Linked DNA regions of Rattus norvegicus. The protein of the gene in region 1 interacts with the protein of each later gene in a biochemical or structural test. Links are inferred from orthologs where the notes say so. Each region holds a gene or a part of one and is shown in the gene's direction. Other genes may lie near its edges.

Region 1 (2,847 bases):
ACAGAATTGGTGCCTGTGAGCTGTTTTCTTGTTCTTAGAATGTCAATAATTGGTCCATTGCACCTGGTTAAAGATGCCATTTGTTTTTAGTGTCAGGACTTCTAAACGTCCCACCTCTGTGAAGTACACATATGGGCATTCCTTAAGGGGAACTAATGTTTTAGAGAGGTAGTATTCCAAAAGAAATGCTGCTATAAACAGGAAACTCAGTTCATTCTGCATGGCTATAATAGTTGAGATCAAAGTTCTAAAAGAGTGGCAACAAGCCTGCACTATACCTACAAATGAAGAAAGGGGATGTGTGTTTGAAGGGCGAGAGGAAGGTACTTTGGAAACTTTCTAGGTAGAGTACATATATTTTATGCCCGACAATGTTGCATTGGTGACTAATTTTGTTTTTCCTTCTGCCTTACGCTTCATTCCTATGGTATACCCAGGCCTAAAGCACACTCAGAGGTAATCCTTACACTCTTTGTGTTCAAAGGTATGATCTAATGAGACAATGCTGGAGGGAGAAGCCTTATGAGAGACCATCATTTGCCCAGATATTGGTGTCCTTAAACAGAATGCTGGAAGAACGAAAGGTGAGCACAATTTGATGCAAGTCCTCTTTCCCTGGGAATCTGTGATGTGCTCAAAGTGATCACTAAAATATCATTGATACAACTCAACAAGTTATTCTAAGAACAGGCTTAAGGGATTATGGGAGCATAGTGGATATGCTCCCCAACTTTGAGAACTTAGGGAAAAATAAGATTTCTGTATAAGACATAGTCACTCATACATACAGTAAAATGTAACCTGCAAGTTCTCTCTTAGAGCTGGAAGCAATCTTATTCATGCGGCCTGTCCCTTTAAATTTATAGATGAAGAAACAAAGAGGTTAAGGGCTTTGGCCAAGAATACGCAAACAACAAAATCTGGCCTATAGTTTACTATTTGGAGGTTATGAAAGTCTATTGAAACATTTTTTTAAAAGTAGCTGCCTGCATCAATTTAGGGGTCAACAGGCAAATAAATCTAGATTAGCAAGGTTATCCATGCAGAGAGAGGGGAAAAATAACTGTGGCCTGGGGAAGGAGCCTACACTAGTTGACCTTTTTATAAGCGGCCAATAAGATACCAAGGGAGGTTAGAAACTAAGGCCAGGGGGTGTAGGGAATTTTATTTAGAAGTCCAGGAATGACATTCACAAGAAAACAAAAACACTGTCACATACAGAGAGAGTGAGTGAGAACAAAAGGTGTCACCCCATCTATGAAAGATAAGGAAGCCAGGACATTAACCTAGCTGCTTCTGGAAGAGACAGAAACAATGTGGTGTATTCTAATCCTTTCTCATTTCAGACATACGTGAACACCACACTTTATGAGAAGTTTACCTACGCAGGAATTGACTGTTCTGCTGAAGAAGCAGCCTAGGGCAGAATCCTTCCTGCATGATTGCCATTTCTCTTCACTGGCACGAGAGCGCCTTGACACCTGTTCTAAGCAAGCAACCCACTGCCAAGAGATGTGATATAGAAGTGTATATATTGTGCTATGTGTTTGGGACCCTCATCATATAGCTCTCATGGATCTGTAGTATGTTCTGACTCTAATATGACTGTATATACTGTTTGGAGTAAGAATGTGCTAAGATCAGAATGCCTGCTTGTGGTTTCATATAATATATTTTTCTAAAAACATGGATTGCCCAGGAAGGTGTGAGTACAAATACTGTAATGCAGAACTTGTTGTCTTAGATATTTTTGATATTTTCCTTCATAACTGAATGTTATAAAAGTGTTTTGCTGTTTATACATAAGATACTGTTCATTAACCATTCCCTTGACAGCACAGGAAGAAAAGCGAGGGAACTGTACGAATTGTGTTAGAATGTGGGTTACTACACAAGAGCAGCAGGGAAGAGGGTCTCTCAATTCTGCTCCTCACCTACAGAAGACAGTTTGTCCTGTGTTTCTACAGCATCCAAATCATTCCAAAATGTTAACATCTAAAAAATTTCTGAGAGATATAAGGTCAAAAAACAAATTGGTGGGACTTACATTTTGTTTCTCTAGTAATCTGTTGTATATTTTAAGAAGTAAAACTAGGAATTTAGGAGCAACGTGTGACATTTGTGACATGGAGTTACCATCCCCACATGTATCGCACACTGTCATATTCCCACATGTATCACACAGTGTAAAAGTTTGTAGTTTTGATCACTTGTGAATTTATTGTTGATGCGGTAGCCACCCACTGCAATGGTTCCTCCTGTAGATGAATAAATGTCTTGTCTACCCACATTCTGTCCAGGAGTGTATCTCATAAAAATAGACGAAGATGTCTTAAGATGCATGGAGTTGGTGAGTACCTACCCACGGCAGGAAAGCAAGGAACACAAGACTGGTAAGCTCTGTAGCTCTACCTCTTAATTTATTGTCTTACCTCAGGGGAGCAGACTTCCAACTGCATCCACTCAGCCCTAGCTTCACTCATAGGAGAGAAAGAAGTTGAACACAGCAGGCATCAAAGACCCCAGCAACTTTCTCCAGCATAGTAGATGTTCACGTGTTAGCTGTTGAGAATCCCTGTGGTTTTCCTCAGTACCAACCTCAGTTGAGAGAATAATGCCAACAGAACACATACACACACAAATCACACACATACACACACACACCACGGGATGAAACAGAAAAGGGCTACACCAGACCTTTATTTTTGCTTTCAACTTTTTGTAGCTTTTTAGACAAAAGTCTTCTAAGAAAGAAAAAAAATTATCTCATAGAAAAATGTTACATAGAAGGGAGTTGCAACAGAATGTAGATTATAATAAATTCAAAGCCGTGTTTCATTCTATAAG
Region 2 (3,737 bases), on another chromosome or scaffold:
ACCAGAACGCGCCTGGGGCTTGTTGTCCCAACAGAGCTGCATAGTGTAGGGGATCTCAGAACACTTGCCTGGGCTGCACCCCGGGTACTGCAAGCAAGTGAAGAAAGCACTACGAGTGCAAACCTGTCTCCTGCACCCATTCTCTCTCCACAGAAGCCCATCCCAGCCAGCGTTCTCCTTCCTTCCTCTCACCCCTGAGGCTCTTAGCATCTTTCCGCACCCTGTCTGTCTGTCCCCAGCATCCCCATCCTGCTGACCCCATGCATTCCTGTCTTCTTCCTCTCTTCTTTTGTCTCCCACACTTGAGATTCCACCAGAGGCTCTGAGAGGCTGGCCCCACCTCCCCTTCCTAACTCTTTTTTTTTTTTTTGGGTTCTTTTATTTCGGAGCTGGGGACCGAACCCAGGGCCTTGCGCTTCCTAGGTAAACGCTCTACCACTGAGCTAAATCCCCAGCCCCCCCTTCCTAACTCTTAACGAGTACCTTCACCTCTGTCCTTCCCATGGCTATGGCACACTCCTGGGAAAGCCACAACAGAACAGACCCACCAGTCCTGGTTGCTGGGCATCGATGATGCCTCTCCTCTCTCACACATAAGCAGTATCATGCCCACACTCGGTAGAGACTACCTCCTTTGAAGTGGGACACACAAGGTCAAAGACATCTTTCCTGGGCTTGTGCCCCTGGTTCCCGGCTTGTTGGGTCCTTCCATCTTGACCTTTGCTCACTCCTTTTCATGTGACTCTGTTCTCTCTCTCTCTCTCTCTCTCGATCTGAGCTATAGTGGACACAGACTACCGGGCTGTGTGACCCTGAGCCAGACACTGAACGTCTCTGAGCCTCTTCTGCACAGTATGTGCAGCTGTCATAGTCAGCCCCACCAAAGCTGGGGGTGGGGTGAATGCTTGGAGTGGAGACCTTAGGCTCACCCCTATGTGTCCCACCTGGCAGGGCCCTGGAGACCAGGCTGCAGGCATTGGAGGCACAGCATCAGGCCCAGCTTAACAGCCTCCAAGACAAGAGGGAACAACTGCAAAGCCTCCTGGGCCATCAGACTGGGGCCCTGGCTAACCTGAAGCACAGTCTGCGAGCCCTCAGCAGCAATTCCAGCTCCCTGCAGCAGCAGCAGCAGCAGCTGATGGAGCTGGTACAGCGCCTGGTGCGGATTGTAGCCCAGGACCAGCACCCAGGTGAGCAGGAGGGAGTGTGCATGGGCTGGGGTGGAGAGCCAAAGACGGAAGGGAGACCCTGTGGAGCCTCCTCAGCCTCTAGGGGCCAGGGACCTATTGTGTGAGAGGCCAGCCCTCTCCTACCATTTGCAAAAGAGAAACTCAGTGACCAGTGATCATACTGGCCACAGCAGCCACTAAGAGTGTCCAACTCAGACTCTGCCCTTGTCTCCTGGGAGATCTTAGCTCTGCCTCTGTTCCGCTCCTGGCCTCAGTTTTCCCATCTGTTGAATGGATATGGTGATAACAACACAGGCAACCACAGCCTACATTGACAAGTCTGTGTCCCAGCTCTTTAAAAAAAAATAAAACAAAAACAAAAACAAAACAAAAAACAGGTCTTATATAGTTCTAGCTTGGAACTTGCTATGTAACGTGGCCTCAGACTCACAGAGTCCCACCTGCCTTTGTCTCTCAAGTGCTCAGATTAAAGGCATGTGCCACCATACCCAGTTATTCAGCTCGGCTTGCTACACGCTTCCGTGGGCCTCAGTTTCCCCAAAGAATGGAAGAGTTGGAGACAAATGCCAAGACTTCTCTACCCTGGTGCTCCTGTTCCAAGGCTTGCAGAGCCATATGGAACTAGGAAGAAATGTGGTGTCCCCAGCCTATCATAGAAAGGAGAACCATGCCTAGCTTGCTCCACAGCCTCCTTGGCATGCCTGGTTCTATCTGCAGCCATTTAATCACCAAGCATCTATTGAGCAGGCAGGCAGGGGCTTGGGTAACAGGGACTCAGCAGCACACGGATGTCGTGGTTTGTCTCTTGTAAAATTCCTTACTGTTTGTCTGGTCTCTGTGGGAAGGAGAAGGAAAGGGCCCACTGTCTGCCAGGTACACTTCCATAGCTTTCTGCCTTCAGCTTCCTCAGCTCAGAATGCTAAGGGGCTGAGCTACGAAGAGGGTACTTCAGTTTAAGGCCAGCAGGGGGCACAAAAGAGGCAGGATGGGGTGGGATTTCTTTTAGAGAGCGCAGAATAGTGTGGAGTGGATGCTAGCTTAGTGGGTGAGAAACCAAAGGGGCTCCTGCTGTAGGACAGTCTGAACCACCTTGGAGGAGACTGGACCTTCTGTAAGACACCCAGCTTCAATCAAGTGAAAGGGTCCCAGGCAGATAGTGAATTGAGGCAGAGGATCCCAGCGTGAGCTTACCCTAAGTCCAGCAGGCAAGGGAAGCCATGAGTGAGGGAGGTAGAGGCCTCCTAAACCTGAGGATAGGCAGTGAACAGAAGCCATTACGGGCTTGTACACAACCCTGGCAGCAAGACAATCTAAATGAGACCTGGGGGATGCAGGGGGGTGGGGGGAGTGGTCTTCCAGGCAAGGAACCTGGGCTGGGGCCTCTCCTCACAGGTCCACAGCTCTCCTGTCCCCTCCCACTGAGGCTGAATGACTGTTCCCTAAGCCCAATGGAAGGTCGTGTCAAGCACTTGATCACTCCTGAACTTGCCTGACTGACACCAGGAAAAGACTTTTCGGTGGTTGCTCTTGCCCCCTGTACATGGAGAACCCATGGAAGATTGATGAATGAGAGTCGGGCAGAGGGTGGGGCAAGGTGTGCTGAAGCCCGGTGGACAGTCAGGCTGGTTACTCTGCAGTCCTGAAGTGAGGACAGGGACACAGGCTCAGCTGTGCAAGGTGTAAAAGCATCATTCCTGCAGTAGTCCATTTGCCTGGCCTCCCTGTGCTCAGCCAAGACACCCAACCCCAGGGAAGGGTGGAGAGGGGAAGGGCTAGCCTGTGGAGTAATCGCCTCCCTTACCTTACAAGTCATCCGATAGGACACTCGCTTCAGCACTTCTCAGCAGAGAACACAGTGAAAGCCACGCTGGCCGGGGCTCTGCACAGAGCCTAGAGCCAGACCAGGGGGTGGGGTGAGGGGAATGGAACTGGAAAGATGAGAATCCAGGACACGCATTCCACCAAAACACTTCATTGCCATATTGGACCAGTTTTATTTTTATGCTGTCCCCTGTTTCATTTTTTCCTGACCCCAAGATGCTCCCGGCAAAACCTGGCTCCTAGGAAACCCCCCAACACAGTAGTCCCAGGTAAAAGCACTTTTATCGTTATCGTTGTTGCTTTTGTTCATTAAGGAAACGGGCTGTAGACAGAGCCTCAGAGAGAGTAGCTAGAAAGCCCAGGCCAGCTCCCGGCTCTGCCCTGATTGTTAAGTACAGTGTAGCCTGACTGCTTGCTTCCAAGCTATAATGCTTGCATTTGCTGGCCTCCCCTTCCCTGTGGCTGTAGGGATCTGAGGGCTGCTGCCTTGCTGGCACTAGAGATCCCTGACCAGAAAACATTCCAGACACTTCATTTGTGGTAAGAAGCATCAATCTTCAAACATGTCTTCCAATGCCAAGATCTGGGAGCCACCATCCAGGTGAAAGGCCCAAACAGGAAGTCCCACCCCAAGTTGAGAAGTCCCACCCCTGTTGGGTTGTTTGTTTGTTTATTTGTTGTATTAATAACCATCCCTCCATAATTTTAGCTCACCTGCCTCTCAGA
Region 3 (2,991 bases), on another chromosome or scaffold:
TGAGTATGTGCTGTGCGACAACCTCCGAGCTGGGGCTGGCCTGCCTGTCAGCCTGGCTGAGTCTATGAGCCCCAGGTTTGAGAAGACACTCGTCTCAGGCCTGAGATGGCTCCTTGGGTAAACACGCCTGCTGTCAGGCCTGACATCTGAGCTTGATCCCGGGTTCCTTATGGTAGAATGTGAGAACTGCTCCTTACAATTCTTTGGTCTCCACATCATACATAAATAAAATTAATTAAAAAATAAAAATATTAAGTTCCTAATATAAGTAAAAGATCTAAGCTTGAACCATGTCTGTTCTTCAGTGAAGAATTTGTGCAGCAACAGTAATGAGAGGATTTATTTATGAAATGAAATGGAATTCAGAACTTGAAATCTCGTGGAAGAATTAGGTCCCACTGTCTGGCAGATCCTGGATTCTTGGGATAGCAGAGTGGCCACTTGGTGGCATGAGTTTTCTCCATTAACTATAATTATTCAAAGGAGAGAAACCCATTGAACTGTTTTGAAAAAGGGGGCTAGACTCTCATCTCACTGTAACAGCTGTCTTTACAGCCACACGACAAGGGGGGTGGGTGGGTTAGGGGGCCCCAGCACCCCTGATCCCAAGCCTGCTTGCTATTCATTCCCACACTTAGACCTCTCTGGAGAGGCTGCCTGTTCTCAGACCACCCGTGTGCTGCTATTCCAGAGAGCAGGAGAGCGCTTCACAACCAAGGACACAATTCATTTATTTACCCAGTTCAAGATTTAAGGGCTGAGAATGGAGTTGGGAGAGACTTGGGAGGAGGCAAGCAGCCAGGGGAGGGAAAGCGGGGAGGTCTGGGTTGAAAGAGGCCAAGTTCCAAGCCATGGGTTGGCCCATTGGGAAGGTGGCCTGTGGGGATGTGCACAGGAGCAGTGCCCGGGGTTCAATAGGTTTTTAAAAGAAGCTACCCTATTAACACCGTGTCTCTAAGGAAGCCTCAGAATTGGTGTTTCACCCCCATTCCTTACTGTCTACTCTCATTGTTTTCTGTATTTTAAAAGAAACATAAATATTATCATACAACCAGTCTCTCCCACACGAAGCTTAAAGATGAACTTGGATTAGTACGTTGTCTAGGTTTCTGCTTCATATGGTGAATCCTATGGCCTGCCATACTCCCACCTGTCGGTGGGAAGATGCTTACTGTTGCCTGACTCTCCCTCAGTACCAACTTTATAGTGTTAAGGCTCCGTTTCCCCCAGCTTCACAGAGCATAGGCACTTGGTTTCTACTCCATCCAAAGCAACATGACGGGGGAAATGGGAACCACTTGGCCTGCCTTGCTGTTAAGACTTCCACCCACATCTGCGGGCAGCCTCTCACGTCTTCACCCCGCAGTGTACCGCAGATGACAGCTCTTCACACAGCACTGACTGACGCTTCTTCACGTAGCAAGGGTTCTGCACAAAAGCAGCTAGACATGCGTAAGAACTCAGGTTACAATGGCACTGTGATCACCTTGGTGTGTAGTTTGTGTCTATGGAATAACAAATCAATGTGGCTTTTCCCACATCATGGGGGTGTGTGTGCCCAGCTGAGCCCTGTGGACTAGCGATTACCCAGTCCTGACTGCATTTGTGTTTCGATTTCACAGGCTGGTGGTTCGACGCATGTGGTCCTTCCAACTTGAATGGACAGTACTACCCACAAAAGCAGAATACGAATAAGTTCAACGGTATCAAGTGGTACTACTGGAAGGGGTCCGGTTACTCGCTCAAGGCCACGACCATGATGATCCGGCCAGCAGATTTCTAAATGCCTGCCTACATTATCAGAAGAACTTGCTGCATCCAAAGATTAACTCTGAGGCACTGAGAGACACCAATGCACAGTAGCCCCTTCCCACATCAGGAGGTGCTCCTGGGGGCGGGGGAGGATCTGTGTGTTCCAGACTGACGCACATCACTTAGGCCTGCACCGCTAACCAACCAAAGGAGACCCAAAGGCACTGCGGGTCTGGAGAAATACCTATGAGAAGGCCATGGTTAGAATCACAGGGACAGCATGCATTCGGACTCTGTCACAAGCAAGAATGTTACGTGGGAGTTCATCAGTAAATAACTGGAAAACAGAACCCTCAGATGGTGCAGATAAATCCCGGGACCACATTACTCGGAGCACGTTTCTACAGTGTACACAGACACAGCTCAGCTGTCCTGGAACCACAGCAGTCAGTCTCCAGGGACTTCTAAGTAGTGGTTACAGGTTATCATCTGGATAAGCACAGTTCGTTGTTCCGTCTTGTGCTTGACATGTTCATTTGGAAACAACACATTTACCTATCTGACGGCTTAGTTTTTAATGGCTGGACACTATTACTATACGGCAAAAATGCCTACATCTCTGGAGTAGCCACCAAGCGGGCGCCATGTCAGTGCATGTGGAGACTGTACTGTTTTTGTTTTCTTTCTGGCTGTTAAATATGAAGGTATTTTTAGTAATTAAATATAAGTTATTAGCTGAGGTGATTATGTTTAATTTTTATGGTAATATATACAATTTTGCTCTTTGAACACACACACACACACACACACACACACACACACACACAATCTGTGCTTGTAACGAGGAAGACTGTTATAAAGGACAAAAATGCAGTTTTATGAAGAGACTTCATCCCTGAGCCAGTGCTCTAGCCTAGAGATGTGCTCCCTAGTTTAGCGAGATAATATTTTAGAAAATGAAGCTAAAACTTAATTTGCGGTTGAGGAAAATAATCCTTCTTAGGACATTTACAAAGCTGTAATTCTCTGAATTAATTTTTAGAAAAAGAATAGTTTGCATTAGTAACATTTTTAATATCCACTAACAAACTAAACAAGTGTTTCAGAACATAAGGCCAAAATGTCCAGCTTGCAACGTAACCAGATACCCCTAGAGAATTCTTCAGAGCACAACTTTACACTTGGAACGGTTAGACCCCAACTCCTGCTGTTCTAACCCTCTAAAGCTTGCAGAGTGGC

Evidence for each region.
Region 2: the proteins of Tek (region 1) and Angpt4 form a complex in vitro, tested with the Homo sapiens proteins (2 studies listed by BioGRID and IntAct). The link is inferred for Rattus norvegicus from reciprocal best matches to the Homo sapiens genes TEK and ANGPT4.
Region 3: the proteins of Tek (region 1) and Angpt2 form a complex in vitro, tested with the Homo sapiens proteins (7 studies listed by BioGRID and IntAct, with this or other methods). The link is inferred for Rattus norvegicus from reciprocal best matches to the Homo sapiens genes TEK and ANGPT2.

What each region holds. Positions count from the first base shown.
Region 1 is NC_086023.1:114,847,246-114,850,092, forward strand, and holds the end of Tek (angiopoietin-1 receptor), read left to right. Parts: intron 1-484; coding exon 485-584; intron 585-1,346; coding exon 1,347-1,421; 3' UTR 1,422-2,289; downstream 2,290-2,847. UniProt on the Homo sapiens protein: Tyrosine-protein kinase that acts as a cell-surface receptor for ANGPT1, ANGPT2 and ANGPT4 and regulates angiogenesis, endothelial cell survival, proliferation, migration, adhesion and cell spreading, reorganization of the actin cytoskeleton, but also maintenance of vascular quiescence.
Region 2 is NC_086021.1:160,897,670-160,901,406, forward strand, and holds part of Angpt4 (angiopoietin-4 precursor), read left to right. Parts: intron 1-951; coding exon 952-1,190; intron 1,191-3,737. UniProt on the Homo sapiens protein: Binds to TEK/TIE2, modulating ANGPT1 signaling. Can induce tyrosine phosphorylation of TEK/TIE2. Promotes endothelial cell survival, migration and angiogenesis.
Region 3 is NC_086034.1:77,838,751-77,841,741, forward strand, and holds the end of Angpt2 (angiopoietin-2 precursor), read left to right. Parts: intron 1-1,622; coding exon 1,623-1,783; 3' UTR 1,784-2,491; downstream 2,492-2,991. UniProt on the Homo sapiens protein: Binds to TEK/TIE2, competing for the ANGPT1 binding site, and modulating ANGPT1 signaling. Can induce tyrosine phosphorylation of TEK/TIE2 in the absence of ANGPT1.